Lonchura striata: one gene and its partners. The protein of the gene in region 1 interacts with the protein of each later gene in a biochemical or structural test. Links are inferred from orthologs where the notes say so. Each region holds a gene or a part of one and is shown on either strand. Other genes may lie near its edges.

Evidence for each region.
Region 2: the proteins of TBP (region 1) and MSX1 form a complex in vitro, tested with the Homo sapiens proteins (2 studies listed by BioGRID). The link is inferred for Lonchura striata from reciprocal best matches to the Homo sapiens genes TBP and MSX1.
Region 3: the proteins of TBP (region 1) and GTF2A1 form a complex in vitro, tested with the Homo sapiens proteins (7 studies listed by BioGRID and IntAct, with this or other methods). The link is inferred for Lonchura striata from reciprocal best matches to the Homo sapiens genes TBP and GTF2A1.

Annotation. Positions count from the first base shown.
Region 1 is NC_134605.1:42,589,796-42,593,538, reverse strand, and holds the start of TBP (TATA-box-binding protein), read right to left. Parts: upstream 2,916-3,743; 5' UTR 2,820-2,915; intron 1,241-2,819; 5' UTR 1,058-1,240; coding exon 1,004-1,057; intron 338-1,003; coding exon 6-337; intron 1-5. UniProt on the Homo sapiens protein: The TFIID basal transcription factor complex plays a major role in the initiation of RNA polymerase II (Pol II)-dependent transcription.
Region 2 is NC_134606.1:12,955,693-12,959,435, forward strand, and holds MSX1 (homeobox protein MSX-1), read right to left. Parts: upstream 2,535-3,743; coding exon 2,090-2,534; intron 677-2,089; coding exon 246-676; 3' UTR 170-245; downstream 1-169. UniProt on the Homo sapiens protein: Acts as a transcriptional repressor. Capable of transcription autoinactivation.
Region 3 is NC_134608.1:20,387,050-20,390,792, forward strand, and holds the start of GTF2A1 (transcription initiation factor IIA subunit 1), read left to right. Parts: upstream 1-1,342; 5' UTR 1,343-1,483; coding exon 1,484-1,513; intron 1,514-3,743. UniProt on the Homo sapiens protein: TFIIA is a component of the transcription machinery of RNA polymerase II and plays an important role in transcriptional activation. TFIIA in a complex with TBP mediates transcriptional activity.

The DNA of each region.
Region 1 (3,743 bases):
CTCACTGTAGTTGTGGCACTATGCCAGAGCTCTCTGATGCTGGTGTTGCAGGAGTTATGGGAGTCATTGGAGTCATTGGAGAGGAGTACAGAGGTGTGGTTCCTGGTAAAGGGGCTGTGGTAAGAGTCTGTGAATGGAAGAGCTGGGGGGTTTGACCAGATGTTCCCTGTGTCGCTTGCTGTGACGTGGATTGCTGTGCTGCTTGCTGCTGCTGCTGCTGCCGCTGCTGTTCCTCCAATATGGACAGACTGTTGGTGCTCTGGACAGGCTGCGGTGTCAGTCCTGTGCCATATGGCATCATCGGGCTGAAAATTGGAATTCCTGGAGTCATTGCACCCTGCAGAAGAAAACAAGACACAAAAGCCACAGATCCATTACTCCATTTTGTTTTTAAGAGACAAAGTTTTCAGGAGGAGTCAAAAATAAATCTATGTTAGCCAAGTTGCTCATATCAAACCTGAAGCATATAGTAGTAAATCATTAAAATTAGAAAATCCTCAGAAATGCAGCTGTTCTACAGAATAAAGTACTACCCAAAGGAATCTAGGGAACATGATGTGCTTCTCACACTACCTTGCAAGTGTGTCTCAACTTTGACCCACAATTTAACTTGAAACTGCCTGAACACCAACTGTGCTCACTGTACCCACTGCACTCATAGCCCAGCAATAATCCATTATGTACATAGTTTAAGCAGCAACCACCTAAATTAAATTAAATCTTTCCAACTTGTCAGTCATGTTTCCACTTAAGAGGAACCCCATTAAGAAATCCCACATATATTCTTACAGTCAGTGTATAAAAAACCATGTGTTTCTTATACTTCTGAATATAGACATCAATGGTTTCAAAATTCTGCTTTATACTAGTATTATTCGATACCTAGTAGAATTTTTCAGATCTGTTAACAAAAAAAAAATTGTGAAGGTAGATATAAGAAAGAGAAAGCACTTTCATAAAGGAAATTCAGATCACAGTTACATTTTAAATAATTCGTTTTTACCTGAGGGGAGGCTAAGCCTTGAGCGTAGGGTGGCAAACTGTTGTTCTGATCCATGATTCCAGTTATTTCTTTGGTGAGGCCAGAAGTATTTCCTTCAATTAATTTAAATAAAATTCAAATCCTAGAGGTTTTTTAACCGTTTAAAACATTCCAGCGAAGTAGCTTTTAAAGCCAAGCTGAAAGTATTAGGAAAACATCAGCTTCAGAGAAATATGGATCTACAACACTGTCCTGAGCCTGGAAAAAAAAAGTAATATCTTGAGAATAATATCTAAACACAAACCCAAAAGCAAATCTATCAGCTGCTGACTCAGATAAGAGACACCCACGTACAAATACATATAAGAACATTCACGCGCACGCACACACACATGCACAATCCATAAAAATAACCTTTTTCAGGCACACTCCATAGAAACTTTGCAGTATGATTCTGCTGAAGTCCCTGGCAGGTCACTTGACTCACACGAGCAGGCCTCTATCTAACCAAACCTTCCTGCACTAACAGCTCAAGCTGTTGATGCTCATTCTACTCCAAGCTTCGCTTCAGCTGCAAAAGCACTGATTTTTTTAGAATTTAATTCCCTTGGCTACTAATTGACATTGCTTGTAGTCTCTTCCTGGCTATTTTAAGGCTTGTGCTTTCAAAAATGACTTTTTTTCTTCTATGAGAAGAGCATCACAGCTCAAATCACAGCTAGGAAAACCTCTTCCATCCAATTCCATAAAACAAAGCACTGACAGATTTCAAACTGTAATGACATACATTTTGTGAGGAAAAAAGAAATATGTGAAAACAAATTTCAAGTACGCAAGTGAGACATACAATGGTTTTCTTTCATTTCTAACTACACTTCTGTTGCTCTGTTATGGAAATAAACAGAAGTGGATGATTTAAATTTTATTATACCAATTATATAAAATATTATCCCATTAATTTTTAAGTTTTTTAACTATTGCTAAGAGATACTCAAGGTCATCAAATACATCAGGCCAGACGTAGGCCACCTCAAAATGCAAAGACAGCCTATGCAGCCTCTCTTTTTTTTAAGATATGAGAACTCAGAACTACATTAATATTTACACTGCAGCTAGAAAGGTCTGCTTTTTTCCACCCATGACCTTAAGATATCACCAAAGGTATCAAGAAGACCACCCAGGTTTTACAACGTGGGAACATTAGAGGCCTAAATATTATCCTGGAAGAAACAAACTCAACTCCTCGACAGCCCAGCTATTTAGTAAAAAGGCTGGATACCAGGCATACAAAAACCTGCACCCAGGGCACGGTCTACGCAGAAGTCCCTCCTCTACCCACTAAAGGCGGCTTGCTCGGATCTCCACTACAAACGTCGGGCGACGTTTCGGTCGAGGGAACAGAGTCCAGAAGCCGCAGACAGCCCGGAGGAGGCCCCGACCCACCCCCGGGGGCCCTTTCGGGCTCGCCACCAGCCACGCAGCAGCGCTCGGCGTGCGGCCACAGCCTGCCCGCGCCCCAGCCCTCCTCGCTCCCCACCCGACCCGGCCCCGGCCCCGGCCCCGCCGCTGCCCGCGCCCATCCCGCGGCCGGCGCCTCGGCCGCCTCCCGCTCCCGAGCCGCGCCGGGGAGAGAAAGGCGGCCGCCGCCTCCGCGCCGCGGGAGCCCCTCCGCTTCCCCCGGCCGCGGCTCAGGCCGCCCCGGAGGTGCGGAGCGAGCCCGGCCCGCGCATCGTCCCCGCCCTCCAGGCCCGGCCTGCCCCACACCATCGCGCCCCACCAGCCCGGCCGCGGGCAGGGGCGAGCGGCGGGCACTCGGTACCGGGCGGGCACTCGGTACCTGCGGCTCGCTCCGCTCCCGCCGCGCTCAGCGCCCGGCCGCGCCCCGCCCCCGCTCCCGCTCCACCGGCGCGCCCGGCGCGTCACTTCCCGCCGCCGGCGGGACAAGACTTCGCAGGGAGGAACCGTCGGAAATTATCGAGGGCGAGGGCAGGAGAGGCACCTGGAGAGGCGTAACCACGGGCGCCAGCACAGGCTGGGCCAGCCGGCGGGGAAGCAGCTCTGTGGGGAAGGGCCTGGGGCTCCTGGTGCAAACAGGCTGTCCCCGAGCCAGCAGTGCCGTGTGGCCAAGAAGGCCAGTGCTGTCCTGGGGTGCATTAGGAAGAGCATTGCCAGCAGGTCGATCCTGCCCCTCTACTCAGCCCTGGAGAGGCTGCGTCTGGAGTGCTGTGTCCTGTTCTGGGCTCCTCAGGGCAGGAGAGACATGGAGCTCCTGGAGCAGATGCAGCAGAGGACTACGGAGATGATAAAGGATTGGAGCATCCACTTATGAAGAAAGGCGGAGGAACCTGGACCTGTTCAGCCTTGAGAAGACACGACTGAGAGGGGACCTCATAAATGTGAATAAATATTTAAAGGGTGGGTGTGAAGAGGATTCATCTGGGCCCATCTTGGTGGTGCCAAGCAATAGGACGAGAGGCAATGGGCAGATACCGATGCACAGGAAGTTCCACCTGCATATGAAGAAGAACTTCTTCACTGTGCAGGTGACCAAGCACTGGAGCAGATTGTCCTGAGAGGTTGTGGAATCTCCCTCACTGGAGATGTTCAAGAACCATCTGGACACAACCGTATGTCAGGTGCTTGAGCAAAAAAGGTTGCTCCAGATGACCCCTTGTGGTCCCTTCCAAATTCTGTGGATCTGTGGGGGTCCCTGGCAGTGCACCAGGCCCTCACAGGAGCTATGGTTCCTCACACTGGAGCT
Region 2 (3,743 bases), on another chromosome or scaffold:
CTGGGGCAATGCCTCAGGTTTCTGCCAGCTCCCCAGGACTGCTGAGGAGACCAGAACAGTGCTGGGATAAGGGCTCAGCATCAGAGGGGGAAGCAGAGAGGTCAAGCAGAGCCAAACGGAAGGAGCCTCTGCCATAGGCTCCATGGGGAAGTCCACAGAGGAGAGCCAGAGGAGCAGGGAGGGAGTGTGTGTGGAGCCAGAGGGAGCAGACAGTCAGCAGTCCTGGGCTGGGCTCGGCTCTGGCTCTATGTGAGGTGGTACATGCTATATCCCACATGTGCTGTGTATAGTCCCACAGGAGCCACGGGCAGCCCTGCCCGCTGAAAAGGGCTGGAGGCGCCGTACAGAGAAGCGCCAGCCACGGCCGGGCCGCCCAGTGGGAAGGAGATGCCAAAAGCAGCAGGCGGGAGCATGGGCTTGGCTGCCATCTTCAGCTTCTCCAGTTCGGCCTCCTGGAGCCGCTTGGCCTTGGCGCGACGGTTCTGGAACCAGATCTTCACCTGGGTCTCCGTGAGGCTGAGCGAGCTGGAGAACTCGGCACGCTCGGCAATGGACAGGTACTGCTTCTGCCGAAACTTCCTCTCCAGGGCCAGCAGCTGTGCCGTGGTGAAGGGCGTCCGGGGCTTCCTGTTTGTCTTGTGCTTGCGCAGGGTGCAGGCGGGCGGGCTCAGTCGCCCTGTACCCGGGAGCAGCCGGGGAAGAGGGGAAAGGAGAGACACCTTGGTTAGCAGTGCCCAAAACCCCACAGCCTGCAGAGCCCCCACCCTACCACAGCTGAGGTGGAGAAAGGGAGACATAGGGTCCTACTTGAAGCAAGGTACCCCAAAACCACCAGGATTGCCTGGGGCACACTCAAAACTGCCGTCTGCCTTTCTAAAAAAAGAGAACGGTGCTTCATATTATAAAGCTCTGACTCCATTGAAAGAACCCAGCAATGGGCAGGAATGAGACACCCAAAAACTCTGCATCTCCTGCCTTATGAAGAGGAGACGCAAATAAAGGGAATGGCCCTCCAAAACGAAGAAACAAATCCTGTTTTTTTATTGGATTACAGGAAACAAAAAAAAAAAAAACGGACTGGCTTCTCAGTCGCACACCCTTCTTCATTAGGCCCCTGGGAACCGGATTAAGCATGTAATTAATTACGAGGTCTGAATTGACACTCATGCTCTATCTACCACTCTCCACTGGTCTGCTCCTCTCCTCTTTAACATTTCTAAGGGTCTTCAACATCCAGCTGTCCCGGGTTTACTTAGCAACAGCAAATTTTACTTTGCAATTTAAATAAATTAAACCGCTGCTTTGCTTTACACAAATCCTGCCGGGAAACCTGCCGTTTTCGGGACAGAGGGGCAGCTCTTGTTTGCAGCTTTGCTAAGGACACCCCAAACGCTTGGAGAGCCTCAGACTAAGGTCATCCACTTCCAAGGGATCCCCGGCAGGAAGGGAGCGGGGCCAGGCCGAGGGCAGCCGGCCCATGCTGCCCAGATCCGGGCGCAGCGCAGCCCCTGGAAATTAACGGCCTTCTCTGACCTCGGCTCCCACGCTGTTATTTGTACTAATTTAGATCTCTCTGCATTAAAGCAGGAAAGCATCACTAATTGTGCCTCTTCGGACTTTGGACATGCACCATTTAAGACGCCAGCCCGTGGGGCTGAAGTCCGCAAAGCTGCCGCGCGGTCTGTGCGCATCCTTACGGAATAACTTGAGCCACTTTCTGAGGAGAGCCTCAGTGATGTTGAGTCAAATCTTAAGTACCTAGTTCGAGCCCCAGGTTAAATTAACAGGCTGGCTACGTTGCTTTTTCTTCCCCCTCCCCCGGCTAACATTTGGCACAAAATTTCAACCCTGGCACGGCCGCTCTTCCTGCGCCTTCGCAGCCATCCTCCGCGAACTCTCGAATCGGTTCAGTACTTTAGACCGATCAAACTGGCCCAGGAGAGTACGAACCGCACGAAAAATACACCAGGAGAGGCAGGCAGGGCGAAAGCGACAGGAAAGCCCCGCCACCCGCGCAGCCTTGCCCTCGGTCCGCCCGGCCCCACGGGAGATCGCGGCCGGCCCGCAGAGCCCCCGGACCATTACTTACTCGGGGGAGGCGGCGAGAAGCGCGGGGTTTGCATCCAGGGACTGCGCTCCTGCTTCTCGGGGCTTTCCGCCTTGACGTGCGTGTCCTCGGGCAGCTTGACCAGCCCCCCGACGGCGAAGTGCCCGCCGAGGGGCAGCGGGGACGGCGGCGCCTCCGCCGACAGCGCGCCCAGCCGGGGACTGAGGCTGGCCGCCCCAGCGCCCGGCGGGGGCCCGGCGCCCTCGGGCCCGTCCCTGCCTCCCGGCTTCCTGTGGTCGGCCATGAGCGCCTCCACGCTGAACGGCAGGAGGGACGGGGAAACCTTGGGCTTGTCGCTTTCCTCCTCCCCGCCCATCGCCGCCGCGACGGGCAGCGCGCCGCCACCGGGACTGCTGAAGGCGGATGCGGGCAGCTCGTCGCTGCGGACCCCGGTGGGCGCGGCGGTCATATCCACAGCCGGGGCCATACAGGGGCTGCCGGCCGTCGCCACCGCAGCGCCGGGCGGGAGCGGGCGGCGCCGCCGCTCATGGGGCCGGGGGGCGCGGGCAGCCGGCGGCGCGCTCCGGCCCCGCGCCGCCGCCGCCGCCTCATAAAGCGGCGCGCGCCGGCTCCGCCCAGCCGGCGCGCGGGGGCGGGGCCGCGCCGCCCCATTGGCTGCGGCCCGGCGGCGCGCGGGGGGCGGGGCCGGGGCCGCCGGGCCCCCGCCCGCCCCGCCCGCCCCGCGCGCCCCGCCCGCCCCGCGCGCCCCGCCCGCCCCGCGCGCCCCGCCCGCCCCGCCCGCCCCGCCGCCCGGAGCGCTCGGGCCCGCTCCGCGTCCCCCGGGCCCGCTCCGCGCCCAGCGCTCGTCTCAGCGCGGAGAGCAGCAGGCCGGGCAGCCGGCACAGCCCTCCGCTGTGGTCAGGGGAAGGCTCAAAGCTCGGGGAAAAACGCATTAACGTCGGAAAAAACACCGGCCTTTCTGTTCGTAAAGCGCGAGGCAGCGAGCCCGAGCGCGTTCTTCTGCAAAACTAGCAGATACCGAGCTGTCCCGAGTGTGACCTCTCAAAGGGAAGGAGACCCTGCCCGCTCCGCCGCCCTTTTGAGTTTTTTGGGGATTTTTTTTTCTTGTGGATTTTGTTTTGTTTTGTTTTGTTTGGGGTTTTTTTGTTTGTATGTTTGATTCGGTTTTTACATGATCGCCGGCCCTGCGGTGTGTTCGATGTGACTGTGGTGATCTGCGTTTATATACATGTATATGCGCATACACGACGCATGATTGAGCTACTTCTTATGGCGTAGATGTGTGCGTGTCTTCAGATAACGAAATATTCGCCCACTTAAAAAGGAACATACAAGCCCCTGAGCCCTTAAAGTCCCGGTATTTTGTTCTGTTAATTCGTTTTACGATCCCTTATCCCGGCGCCCAGGACGGATGTGCAGTAAAACGGAGCCGCTCTCTAATAACGGGATTGGCCGCTCGCTGAGAAAAGTTTATTGATAGCTGCAGGGCTCTAATCTCCTCGGAACACAAGAGCCTCTTGCAGTCATTTAAGGGCAATTATCTAAACAGGGAGGGACAGCGAATTCCCTTTCCTTTTAACTGGACTCTATAAAGATGGTAGATTAGGAGCATATAGATTATGAAATGAATTGATACAATAGACATTTTATTAACTGATAAGCAACAGGATCTGAT
Region 3 (3,743 bases), on another chromosome or scaffold:
CAGCAACATTGCAGATCAGTAAGCACCTGTGGGCCTTGAGGAGACCCTGAGGAAGGACAGCTGTAAATGCTTAGGTTGTGCTGCCTCCCTCTTCCTGGCCACCTCTAGCCTCAGCTACTAGCCCCAGTGGTAGCACTCTCCTACAACAGTGGCACATAGGCCTGGGCAGCCTTTAATCAACTTCTTGTGAGGGAAAGCACCAGTGCTCACAATGCTGAGCAGGGTTCAGAACCCCTTCCTCGTGGGCCCAGAAGAGCCATTTCTGTCTAGTAGTAATTACTTGCAGTTTTTAATTGCCTTGGAGCAACCTCCTGGGGACCGAGGTGAGGCGTGTTGATTTCTGCAGAGCCTGGCACCAGCTGTCACCCGCAGCTTGGACAGCAGGGCCCGAGCGTGTGAGGGCTGCCAGCTCTTCTCCCAGCACTGTGCCCTGCTGCAGGCACCATAGCCCAGCCCTGGTCAACAGCAGCTGAACACAGTCAGGTGTGCCCTGGTGGCCAAGAAGGCTGATGGCATCTTGGCTTGTATCAGCCATAGTGTGGCCAGCAGGACCAGGGCATTTATCTTCTCCCTCTACTTAGCACTGGTGGGGCTGCACTTTGAATTCTGTGTTCAGTTCTGAGCCTCACTTCAGGGAGGACATCGAGGGGTTGGACCACGTCTAGAGAAAGGGAATGAAGCTGGTGAAGGGTCTGGGACACAAGTCTGATGAGGAGCAGCTGAGAGAGCTGGGGTTGTTGAGCCTGGAGAAAAGGAGGCTCTGGGGGATGTTTTTGCTCTCTATGACCACCTGAAGGAAGGTGGTAGCCAAGTGGAGATTCATCTCTTCTGCCAGGCAACCAGGGACAGGACAGGGGAGGTTGAGGGTGGCCATCAGGGTGAATTTCTTCACATAAAAGTGATTAGACACTGGAATAAGCTGCCCAGAGAGGCGGTGGAAGCATGATCCGTGGAGGTGTTTAAGGACGTGACACTTAGTGCCCTAGTGTAGCTGACACGGGGCTGTTCGGCCATTGGCTGGACTCCACGGTCTCGCAGGACTTCTCCCAACGAAGCGGTTCCGTTTGTCCGTCCCGCGCTCAGGCGGGCGGGGAGAGGCGAAGGCGCTTCCGCCTCGCTGGGGCCCGGCCGCGCCGCCACTTCCGCCTCGGTAGGTGTCATGGCGGCGGGGGCGGGGCGCCCGCGTGACGCCTCGGTCCCGGCGCGGTCTCGCGGCAGCTCTCGCGGTGCTTCGCGCCCCCCCCGCCCGCGTCCCCCGCTCGCCGGCCGCTCGCGCAGCGCTCGGCTCGCGCTATATAAAGGGGCGAGGCGGCAGCGCGGCGGCTGCAGCCCCGGGGCCGCGAGCGAGCCCGGCACAGGCCGCGGGGCCGCCCGTCAGCCGGGGCGGAACGCGCGGGCGCTGGGGGGACGCAGCCGGGCAGGTTTATTGTTTTAGGGGCGACTCCCCCCCCCGCGGTTGGGGGCGTCCCGGGGGGCTCGGGACATGGCGAGCTCGACTAACACAAACCCCGTGGTAAGGACCGGGTCGGGGGGCGAGGGGGGCCCCGGGGGCAGCGCGGGCGGAGGTGGCCGGCGGGGCCCGCCGCCCCCTCCCCCGCACTCCCTTCCCTCCCGCCGCCCGCCTCGGGCGGTCCCGGCCCCCCGGCGGGCAGGGGCGGCGGGGGGCGCCGGGCAGCCTCGCCCCCGCGGCGGCAGCCAACTTGTGGCGCCCGGCGGCGGGGAGAGAGGCGGCGGGAGCGGAGCGGCGGGGGCGCGGGGCGGCGGCCCGGGGGCGGCCCCGCGGGGAGGCCGGGGGTCCGGCGGGGAAGGGAAGGAAGGGCCGCCGGGCGGGGGGCGCCCGCCGCCGGCGGGAGGCGCCCGGGGAAGGGGCGAGAGCCGGAGCAGCGCGGGCGCTAACGCCCGCCCCGAGACGAGGGGAAGGGGCGCCCGAGCCAGCTTTCGGTTCTGCGGCGCTGGGGAAGCCCGCCTGGGCTCCGCTGGAGCCATTTTATGTTGCTTTGTAAGAAGGAGACGATGGTTGAAAAGCACTTATCCCACTCCGGCCGGATCGGCTAAGCCGAGCGAAAGCCCTCAACTCTGGCGAGCGAGGCAGTATTTATTTTAAAAAGAGAGAACGAAGAAAAAAAAAAAAAAAAACCGCAAAAAACCCCAAACCCAAACCTCTCCCCCGTTCCCTTCTCGTGCTTTCTGCACCTTGGCGGGTGGCTCGCTGCTGCACTTGTACTCACAGAGGTTTGCAACAAGCAGTCACACAGACCTGCGCTGCCACCGAGCCCCCCCGGCCGCCGCTCCGCTCCCCGGCGCGCCCCCGGCCGCGACCCCCGCCCCGAAGCGCTGGAGGAGACAAACCCGGCGTCCCGGCGGCGGGCTCGGCCCCCTTGTTTGTGGCTCTCAGATCCATCATGGCTTCCCCCTGCCTTTCTGCCTCCCTGCTCCTTGTGTTCCTCCTCCCTGTGGCTGCCCTGTTTATATAGCGCTATTGCCGCTCTCTAATATAGACTCTGCTAGGATGGGAAGGTGCTTTCCAGCCCCACGTCACCGCCTCTCCATTTAAACACCACATCAGCCTTTAAATAGGGAGCGAGCCGCGGAGCGCGGGCTGGGAGGTGCATGCGGCGGAGGCTGGGAGACGGGCGGCTTGTCCCTCGGATCCCGGCCGGCCTTGCCCATCGCTTTCTCTTCCCTCCGCGCCGCCCGTCCCCGTCGCCACCGGGCTGCGGAGCGGTGGTGCTTTGCGGGTGCGAGGGTGTCTCCTACCCGTGTAAATGAGCTTTCTTTTGCTTCTACGCATTGCACAAAGACGGTTTTCATCTGCTCCTGCATTTGAATCTGTCCTACCCTTTACCTTTTTTTTTTTTATTATTATTTTTTTTTTATTTTGCTTGGTTAATTTTGGGTTTGCTGTGGTTTTTTTTTTTTCGTTTATTTAAGGTTTGGGGTTTTTTGTCCTTGGCGTAGAGCTCGCACACGTTCCTGTGCTCCTGTAAAGTCTTCAAAGTAGCTGTTCTACTGCGTGGGGAAAGGAGTGTTTAAACGGTTCTTACCCAGTGTATCAAGGAGAGTTGTGGTATTTATTTTATGGCGCTTTGCCAAGATCTGACTACAGCTGTCTCCCCAAAAGTGAAGTTAACATTCAAGTTTTATGCGTGGGTCATGGGCTGCAGATGCTGCTCAATGATTTATGTGTGTTTCTGGTGCCTAAAGTGTACAAATATTTTATTGCATTCCAGGCAGAGCAGTGGTTTTGGAATTTTCACTACTTAGTTTCATTACAGTATTTGATATACTACAAAATATACAAAAGAAAATGCAAAGTGTCTTAGTTTTCTTTTCCTAATCTGAAATGTTAAGAGACCTGCTTGTGAGTTAGGTTTATGCAATTGCATAATATCTTTGATTTGATATTTTGTCAGCTTTTGTATCAGAAAATTTTAGGAAAGTAGTCAGCTGTTACACAGAGGGCAGTTACTCAGCAGGATGCACATTGAATGCGTGTGATTTGAATCTTCTTTAGTTTATGATCTTCTGTTTATGAACAGTCCTTCTGTTTATGCACTTATTTATTTGTGTTTTTATTGTAAGGAAAGGTTTTATTTCAGTGTAGTAAACTAGAGGCTTTTCCTCTCTTTCTTGACTGAAGTAGTACTGAATGGCAAAAACAATGCCTGTAAATATTTTTGATTAAGCTATTTACTAAGACTTGCTTTCTTCCGCTGTATTTCTGTGCTGGAAGTTCTTTTGAA